Linked DNA regions of Sus scrofa. The protein of the gene in region 1 purifies or fractionates together with the protein of each later gene. This does not show direct contact. Links are inferred from orthologs where the notes say so. Each region holds a gene or a part of one and is shown on either strand. Other genes may lie near its edges. The genes, in order: ATP2B4 and NPTN.

Region 1 (4,521 bases):
GGAGGATCAAAGAGATCTCCTCCCAAACCCTGAAGCTGTGGCCATTGAGACAGGCAGGGACCTGGGACCTGGGACCCTTTGCTGCGGTGGCTGCAGTGCTTGCACCTGGACAAACATCTCCCAGAGCAACAAAATACAAAGAAACTGTAAGTGTTTAAAAATAGCTTCATACATGCGCAGTTGGGACAGATTATGGGCAAGAAGATACAAAAAAACTAAAAACGCAACTACCACTTCTGAAGAGCAGAGAGTAAAAGCAGGGTAATAGGCCTGCCCCCTGCACACAGTCACCAAAGAGCAGACCACCTAAGCCACTCCTCTGGCCCAACCTCTGGAGCCGCCCCTACACTCACCCCAAATAAGGAGCCAGCTCGTATCCCATCCCCACCCCAGCGAGCCAGCAAGGGAAACCGTTGGAAACTGCTGCAGGGGCCCCAGTAAAGCCTAACCTGAGTTTTCCTGTCTGGCCTCTTATCAATTTCCAATGATTAAGAAAGCTAAGAGCCCAGGATGATAATACTCAGCTTCTCCACATCCTAGTTTACCACTCTAATCTGTGAGGTGTGTCACCCTGCCTTCATTAGCAAGTGAGTGTTTGTGTGTGTGCTGAGGTCTACGGCGTGGGAATTTATCAGTCAATGAAGATATGCAGTGTGAACCAGTCGGGGATGCATGTTTGCACTTGAAAGCCAGAAGGTTTTAGGCGAAATCTATGGGTGGCACTGTTGCACAATGCTGGTGGGTGTGTGGCTGCTGGGGTGTGATTTAACAGTTTACAGTCTGTGTATAAGTGTACCTGGATGTCTGAGTGTGTGCAAATTAAAATGGAAATGTGTACTGTAGCATGATACAAGTGCAGGAAAGTACACAGACTGGCTTTGGAGTCAGTCTGACTTGGGCTTGCATCCTTGCTCTGTTATTATTAAACAGATGTGGAAGCTTGGGCGAGTCACTGATTCTCAATTTCCTGAACTCTGAAATGAAGATAATAAGTACCTTTCAAGATCGCCATGAGCATTAGAAACGAAACCATATATGCAAAGCTTTTGGTGCCATAGCCCACACGTAGTAGGACTGAAAAACAGGCAGCTATTATGCACTGTGGATGTACCTCTGATGGGTACAGAGGCAAGCGGGAGCCAAGTGTGACCCGGGACTGTGTGTGTGAAATCTGGGTGAGGAGTGTCTACTAAGGTGTGTCTATAAGCAAAGCTATGTACTGGTGTGTATGTCTGAGCAATTCCTTTTCCTCCTCCAGGGAGCCCCTCCTTCAGACCAGCGGCAGGTGGGTGGCAGGGAATTGTACAAGTTTTCACAGCCACCTTGGGTTCCCGGGTCCTGGTTCTAAGTGAGTTAAGAGTTTGAGCGGAGCTGCAGGAAACCAACCGCCTGCAAAAGCTTCCTTTTTTTCCCTCCACCCAGCAACGGTTGAATACCGCCACCCACATCCACTCCCACCTCCACCCCCACCCTGCCTTCCTTTTAACGAGGGAGAGCAAGGGCGGGGGGGAAACCCCACAGAAAAGAGGATTCCTCCCCTTCTCCCCCAGTCCCCCTTAAGACAAATCAGGAAGAAGCCGCAGCTCGCCATCGGGCCACCTTAACAGTAGAGTAATGGTCTGGCCTCTCGCCAAGTCCCGCCCTCTTCCAGCCCTCGCTCCTCCCCTTTCTCCTCCCGCCCAGGCCCGGCTGGTGAGCAGGAGTCTGGCCCGAGTTGGCTGGAGCTGTTGCCATGACAAGCATTTTCTTAAGAAAGCTCTGCTGTTGAGACCGTCTGAAGCGGGGGGTTGAAGGGGGGGCACGAACTTCCTGGGGAACGGTCTCCCCGAGGAGGGCAAGCCCAGAGACACCCGCCCAGCTCCCAGCACCCTTTTCTTCCAGGAACCTGAGAGGTCCTTTCCTTTGGGAGGGCTAGGGGAGGAGACCCAGCCCACTCCCCGGTCGTAGCTGGAAAGGCAGGAGAGACCAGCCAGCATCTCCGGCGTGGTTGCCACACGGGGGACACCGGTGGGTCGTCACCCCCCCCTACCTCTGTCCATGGAAACCCGGAGAAAGAGTCCCGCGTGGAGAAGCCTGGATCTCTGCTAGAAAGAAAGGTAGGTTTGCAGAGAATGAATTGAATCTTGATTTGCAAACTTAGTTTCTTTCTTTCCTTTCAGTGGCTGATAAAATTCTCTGAATTTCCTCTTCCTAGCATATTTCTTGCAGCTGGGTTTAGGGGTGTGTGTGTCTGTGCTCGCGCACAGATTTGTCAAATACTATATTTCCTTCCTAGACTCAGTTCTGAGAAACGTATAATCAAACAAGTGATTTCTCTTTTTTTCCTTCGAGTTTTTGTCATTCCTGGGCTGTGGGGCTAGGGAAGTGGAGAGACTGTATTTTTCATACCCAAATGGAGCTTTTGGAAAAAGCATTTATTTTCCCCCATTCGTTCCTGCCCTCCCCTCCCCCTTGGCTTGGGAATGAGACGCAGAATGGAAAACTGTTGCAAAAATATTTTCCGCGTCTGTTCCCTTTCTTGAAAGCCCCAAAGAGAGATGGGAAAAAAAAAAAAAAAAAAAAGAACTGAGTACAAAATGCTCAACAGGAAGGAGGGGCTGCATCGGGGACTGGGAGAGGGGCTCACTGGGGGATGGGTGGAGGTAGGCGCTAGAAGTTGCAAGTGGGGAAGGGCAGTGCACAAATTAAATTTCTTTGGCTTTGTAGGGAAACCTCAGCAGTTTCTCTCTACCGCTCGCAAAACATCCTCAGACTTTCACGTCTATAATTAGCAGTGGAAAAAGCTGGGAGTTCCCTTGTACTGCTGTTGTTTGAGTGTGTGTGGAGCGTCAAGAACCAACTGTATGAGTGTCTCTGAGGGCACCGCCCCGTACATCGCTGGTCAAAAGGGGAGAAAGCAGAAGGGGTGAAGTTTGAAAGTTTGCAGTTTCAAGGCTGGTGACCGTGGGGCTGGTGAGTGTTTGGCGGTTGGGGGTTGCCACAGGCATCCTTGGGAGGGTCCCCGAGCAGCCTGGGCCACTTGCTAAAGAGCTAGAAATTAAGACTGGGATTGTCCCTCCTGCTTGTCGTTCACAAACACACTCACTCAAATACTTGGCTCGCTCTCGTGGTGGAGGAGGCCGGCTGGCATCCTCCCCAGGCAAGTCCAGCCTCACACACTCCTCCATCTCACTGAAGGACCCACCGCTTTTCTCTTGCTGGCTGTGGAGGACCCAGGAGTGTCTGGCCACATCCCGGGAGAGAGTGGGCACTCTGCTGGCCAGAGACACCACCCTCCTGGGCATTCCTGCCTGACTTAGAATAACTTGCAGACGGATGTCGGCGCCAGCCGGCCTGGTAGGGGGGAATCTCAGCTGAAGAAATAGGCGGGCACTCAACTGACACCACTGGGGGAGGGGAAGTAAAATCCCACTGTAGCCTGCCACCTCCTCCTTTGGGTGGGGTGTCTGGCAGGGAGTCTTAAGATCCTCCCGGATGTCCTCTATCTCCTAGTTGCCCCTTCTTGCCCATTCTATCTGGAGGTCATCCCCCACCCCCTCAGCTCCAGGCCCTCTTTACAGGGAAGAAGGGGAAGAGACCAAGGTCATTCTAGGCTGAGACTGGCGAAGGAGAGGGGCCTAGGGTCAGGACGGACTAGGTAGAGAAAGGTTTAGGAGGAGGGCAGAAGGGGGTGGTGCCCTGATGGCTAGTGAGCTAGGTTTCCTGGCTAGGGGCAGTGGCCTGGGGAGTGGGCTCAGCAATGTGGGTCCTGCACCTGAAACTTGGTGGTGGGCCGAATGGCGAAAAAGAAGCACCTGCCATCTGCCCCAGCTAGTTTGGTTGAATGAGTGGTAAAGGCAGAAACTGGAAAGAAGGAAGCAAACGATGTGGAAGAGAGCACAAATGGGGCCGGGATGGATCTGCCTGCACCCCAAGGCCAGACAGCTCCTCTCTCTGGGGAAGGGAATGAGGCCTTACCCAATGGGCAGGGAACCCCGGCCCAGATCCATGCCCTTGTTCTGTAGAGAGGCGGGGAGGGGAATCCGTCTCTTTGCTCCTCTTCGGGAGCCCCATCCTCCCCGCCACCATCTTGCAGAGGTTCAACCCTGAAATCACGCCCCTTCCCCCTCCCCACCCCCCTGCCCTTTGGGGGGCCCATAATCCCACAGTTCCTGTGGCCGACCTTTCCATTTTCAGTGCTTTCACTAAGGGTAGATTCTGGTAGGTTCGGGAGGGCTTCTCCCTTGAGGAGCAGGTCCCTATTTAGCACCGAGGCGCCTGCTCCCTTGGCCTGGAGTCCGGCGTGGTGGGGACGGGGTGGGGGGACGGGGCGCGGGGATTGACCTCCTCTTAGCCCCAGCCCTTCCCTCGGGTCGCGGGGCGGGGTCTGTGCTGCCACTTACCCGCGACCCCTCCCCTCGGCTGCTCTGCGGCCCCGCCCGGTCGCAGCCTCTCCCTCAGCTCCTCTCCAGCCTCGGGCTCTGCCTTCCTCTGAGGATTCCGTGCACCACAGCTCACTGAGCTGGAGCGAAGGTTTCATGC
Region 2 (4,379 bases), on another chromosome or scaffold:
ACAAAACCAGATTCTTCTCTAGAGCCACGCCAGATCTGAGCCAAGTCTGTGACCTACACCACAGCTCAGGGCAACACCAGATCCGTAATCCACTGAGCGAGGCCAAGGATCCAACCCGCAACCTCATGGTTCCTGGTCGAATTCGCTTCCGCTGCGCCACGATGGGAACTCCAGATTCTTTGCTATTAATGGTTACCAAAAACATTCAGAACTTGAGTAATTTGTGCCTCTTTTGGCTTTAGTTGCCCTACCCCTAAATGAGCATAATCATTTTGTAAGGATTCCTAATCAAATGGTGATTTTGATTATGGTTATGATGAGGCAGGATGGTTGTATCTGACCAAAGCTTCCATCAGCTGAAAACACTGGTTCTACCACAGGCAGCCCTGCAACCCTCCACATAGAGCTGTTTGCTGAATATCCTTTGTTCAAAGATACATGTCAACCTTTTTGTTACACATCTGAGGTTTTGAAAGATATAGTTTCATTTCCGTGAAAACATGCTATACTTATAGACCCAGTGCTTTCTAGAAAACTCAGTCTGGAACCACCAGCTGTGTGGTTCTTGCTGAAAGCTTATAGACCGCTTTGGCTTGAGAGTGTGAAGATTATGGTGAGTGCTTCTTCTTACAGTTTCTCCAAGTTTTCTCTTCGAAATGAGTCAGGTCACTGGGGCTGTTTACTTGGCTCCTCTTGGTTTCACTCCACAGACACTCCCCAGGATGTCTGCTCTGAGTCAGGGATTAGCTAAATCACAGAAACTCCTTTACCAACCAAGGATTGACAGGGCTCGGGGTAATGCCAAAAATACCCTTAAAAAGAGCACTTCCCAAACTTCCATGCAAACAGTAGTGACCACATTGCCAGAGCACTTGGCTGGCTCCCTTCCTATGGATGGTTTTCCTGTACAGTCATTTTTCTTCCTAGTTCCTCTGATAGACTAGGTTGTGAACTTTTTGATCTGGGTTTCACAGCAAATTAAAAACTTGGTACACAGCAGGTACTCAAATGTTGGCTGTGTGAAAATGCTTCTGAAGAGTCTTCGTATAAGTTAATACATGATGGCATCCTTATAGAATTTATTGTCTACATTGTCTAACTAGCAATTAGGCTAGTTGAACTTCAGGCCTGAGATTCTAAGTAGTTAAAACAAGGCCAAAACGAGGGGAGGGGGGGCGGGGGGAATAGAAAGGCAAGGAAAAGGAGGACATTTCACGCAGAGGGAGATGAGTAAAGCACAAGGTAATACCAGTTGTCATTTAGCCTGAAAGGTTAAAACATGGGGGTTAACGTGGGAGGCTGAAGCCAGATGTCAGGAGGGAGTCTAAGGTCAAAGTCCAGATGGAAGAAATAGCAGGACTTTGATAGAGAACAATGAGAGGAAGGCTTAAAAGAGGCGGTGGTGCATTAAATTTTGCAGCCAAGCGCTCCAACAAACGAAAGGCAGGATGGGCGGAGGAAATATTATGTTCCCAAAGCTTCCTCTTATTTATGGGCGTTTCACAGAGGGATAAGCTAAATGCAGACTTCTCGGTTCCCCAAGGCCAGGAGAGCTTCAGGAGCCCCGCCTCTCCCCATCACGTGGCCAGAAGCACCGTTGGCACGTGATCCACCTCGCGCTAGGCCAATCGGCCTCTCCAGGGGCGGGGACACAGAGTCCGAGGGGCGGGAGGATCGCTTGCGGCCGCCTCTTCTCGCGATCCTTGACGCCGTCGCTGCTCAACCGCCCACGGCCGGGAGAGATTGTCTCGCGAGGCCTGGGCGCTGCGGCGGTAGGAGGAGGACGGGGAAGGACGGAGCCGAGCCGCGGCTGCCTCCCTCGCTCTCTCCCTGGCACACTCGCCCGCCCCCTCCCTCCCTCCCCTCCCTTCCCCAGCCCCGGCTCCGGCCCCGGCCAATTCGCTGTTCGGTCTTCTGCAGGGAGGATGTTGGGCTCGTCGCTTCCCAGCGCCCTGGCCCTCTCGCTGTTGCTGGTCTCTGGCTCCCTCCTTCCAGGACCAGGCGCCGCTCAAAACGGTAAGCCGGGCGCCGGGGGCGGGCCGGGCGGGGGCTGAGGGACACTGGTGGCCGGAGGGAGCCGTCCAGGGCCCAAGGAGGTGGCGGAGCTGGGGGAAAGGGGCCCGTCGGAGTCTGAGGGGCTGCGGACCCGAGAGGAGCAGATGCCGGTTGGGAGTTCGAAGAGGCGAGGGTGTGAGAACCGGAGGCGCCTGTCCGAGAGGTGGGGGCGTCCGATAAGAGCTCGAGGTGTTGCTGACTTAGAGGCTCCACGTCTTGGGCTCGTCGCTCTCAGTCGGGGAGGGGACACCGAGGAAGCCGACGTGGGGAGCCGGAGTAGCGGGGGCGGATGAGGAGGGGGCGCAGCGTTTAAAGAAGGCGGCACAAGACAGGCGTTTGTGTTTAAGGTAATGGGGAGTGGTGTCAGGCTCTCCTTGAGACCAGGGGTCCCAGGCGCTGTAAATGTCCAGGATTCAACTGGGGCCCCGTGAAACTGGTGACATCCTTAAAAAAATAAGGGAGATGTTGGGGGGAAGGGAGTCCTGAAGAATACTGAGCAGAGTACTAGAGCCTTAAGGAGGGCATAAAGAATCAGGGAGCCTTGGCTGTGGAGGTGGAGGGAAGGTGGGTGGAAAGCCAAGGTAGTGGGTTGACTGCAGTAGGAGATCTAGAAAGAGGAGCAGCAGTGGCTCTAAATGAGATGGGGAAAGAGGGCTGGGTTTGCTAAGGAGGGTGGAGTGTTGGGCATTCTAGGGTAGTGGTTGGGAGAGCAAAAGGGAGTTTCTAAATAAGGAGAGGAAAATTGAGCAGAGGATGGGGAGAAAGGCTTGAAACTGAGGGTAGGGGGAATTATTTATTAGCGAAATAAGGGTGCCTGGCTCTAGAGATGGGGGTGGGGGAAGACAGAAAATAAAGGAAGGGAGTAAAATGCAGGAAGCCGGGGGTGTAATGTTGGTTTACAGTGTGGAGGATAAATTAGGGAAGGGAGGAGCTGAATGTGGCAAGTGTCTATGATACTGGTGGGGCCTTTGGGAAGGCAGGGACGCATAGCTGGAACTGCAGTGGTGGGATTGAGGGCAGTTACCGGAGAGAGGGAGATGAAGGAAGTGGATTTTTAAGATCTAAAAGTTTCAAGACAGAAGAGACATTATTTCTGAAGAACATAAAGGTAGTCCTTAGAATTCGTGTGCAGGGTACACTTGAAAGGAGAGAATTGGGTTTTGAACTGAAGCTCTTCAGAGAAGATGGAAACATGGTGATGGGGGATTTAGATAAAAAGATTCTGATTGTTGAGGGTATGTGTCACAATTGAGCTGCCTAATTGATCTTTTAGAGATGAGACTAGAAAGTGTTCTGCCTAATTGATCTTTCAGAGATGAGACTAGAAAGTGTTGTGAACTGGTTTCTGCTCTGTGGAAACAGTCTTTAAGAGGTTTAAAAAATATTTTTATAGGAAAAACATTTATGAGGGTGAACTCATACATGAGAGTGCTGGAGAAAGAGTTATAAACTATTTTTGCTAGTTCTTTGGGGTTTCATTGTTTTTATGCTAGAACAGTTTGCAGTTACTCTTGTGAATAGCTGACATTTAAATGTTTTTTATTAAAAAAAAGGTAAATGTTAGAGCTAATGGAGTTAAACATTCTAAAGAGAATCTAGGCTCAAAATGCTGAAGATTACAGTGAAAAGATATCAATAAAGATTGAAAAAGCATCATCAGTTAAATATAAGTGTTTTTTGCAGCAAATTGTGTGAATCAAATCTTGTGTATGCTTCATGGCCATGAATGATCACTGCAGGAGTCAGGAAGGAAGCATTTTTCTGTCTCTAGCATTGAATATGCTAAGTATATTGGGTATTTTCCTATTTTCCTCCAAAGCATGAGGCCACGGTGGAAAGCGGGATAGAATCAGTCTGATTTATCTTAGCAGTTTTTAGTCTGTGTTAATAATATGACTTAAGCCTAATAACTAATTTCACCTATTTGATTTGTAGATACAGCAAGGTTTCATTCGGCACAATTAGAGGTTTTTGATTTTTAACATGTTTAATCTCTGTGCTAGCATAGCTTCTTTTGAAAATTTATAATACGGTGAAATTGTAGTTTCTTAGCAACTAAAGGTTTTTGGATAGGCCTACAAAGACTCATCTGGTTGTTCTCAGTGATATGTGTTCTAAATACAGCATAGTGTGCAGCCTTTTCCTTGAAATGAGCTTGAATTTGATCACATGACATGACTGGTGAAGTGAAGCTGAGCTTGTAGTTGACCCAAATGAATGTAAATTTAAATCGAGAAAGAAATGGCTCTGTGTGTGTGTGTGTGTGTGTGTCTGTGTCTGTGTCTGTCTGTCTGTCTGTCTGTCTGTCTCTGTCTGAGGGAGAG

What was found.
Region 2: the proteins of ATP2B4 (region 1) and NPTN purify together in Homo sapiens (co-immunoprecipitation; 3 studies listed by BioGRID and IntAct, with this or other methods). This does not show direct contact. The link is inferred for Sus scrofa from reciprocal best matches to the Homo sapiens genes ATP2B4 and NPTN.

The regions. Positions count from the first base shown.
Region 1 is NC_010451.4:64,334,791-64,339,311, forward strand, and holds the start of ATP2B4 (plasma membrane calcium-transporting ATPase 4), read left to right. Parts: upstream 1-1,673; 5' UTR 1,674-2,096; intron 2,097-2,706; exon of another isoform or gene 2,707-2,952; intron 2,953-4,521. UniProt on the Homo sapiens protein: Calcium/calmodulin-regulated and magnesium-dependent enzyme that catalyzes the hydrolysis of ATP coupled with the transport of calcium out of the cell. By regulating sperm cell calcium homeostasis, may play a role in sperm motility.
Region 2 is NC_010449.5:59,766,891-59,771,269, forward strand, and holds the start of NPTN (neuroplastin), read left to right. Parts: upstream 1-1,523; 5' UTR 1,524-1,925; coding exon 1,926-2,016; intron 2,017-4,379. UniProt on the Homo sapiens protein: Probable homophilic and heterophilic cell adhesion molecule involved in long term potentiation at hippocampal excitatory synapses through activation of p38MAPK. May also regulate neurite outgrowth by activating the FGFR1 signaling pathway.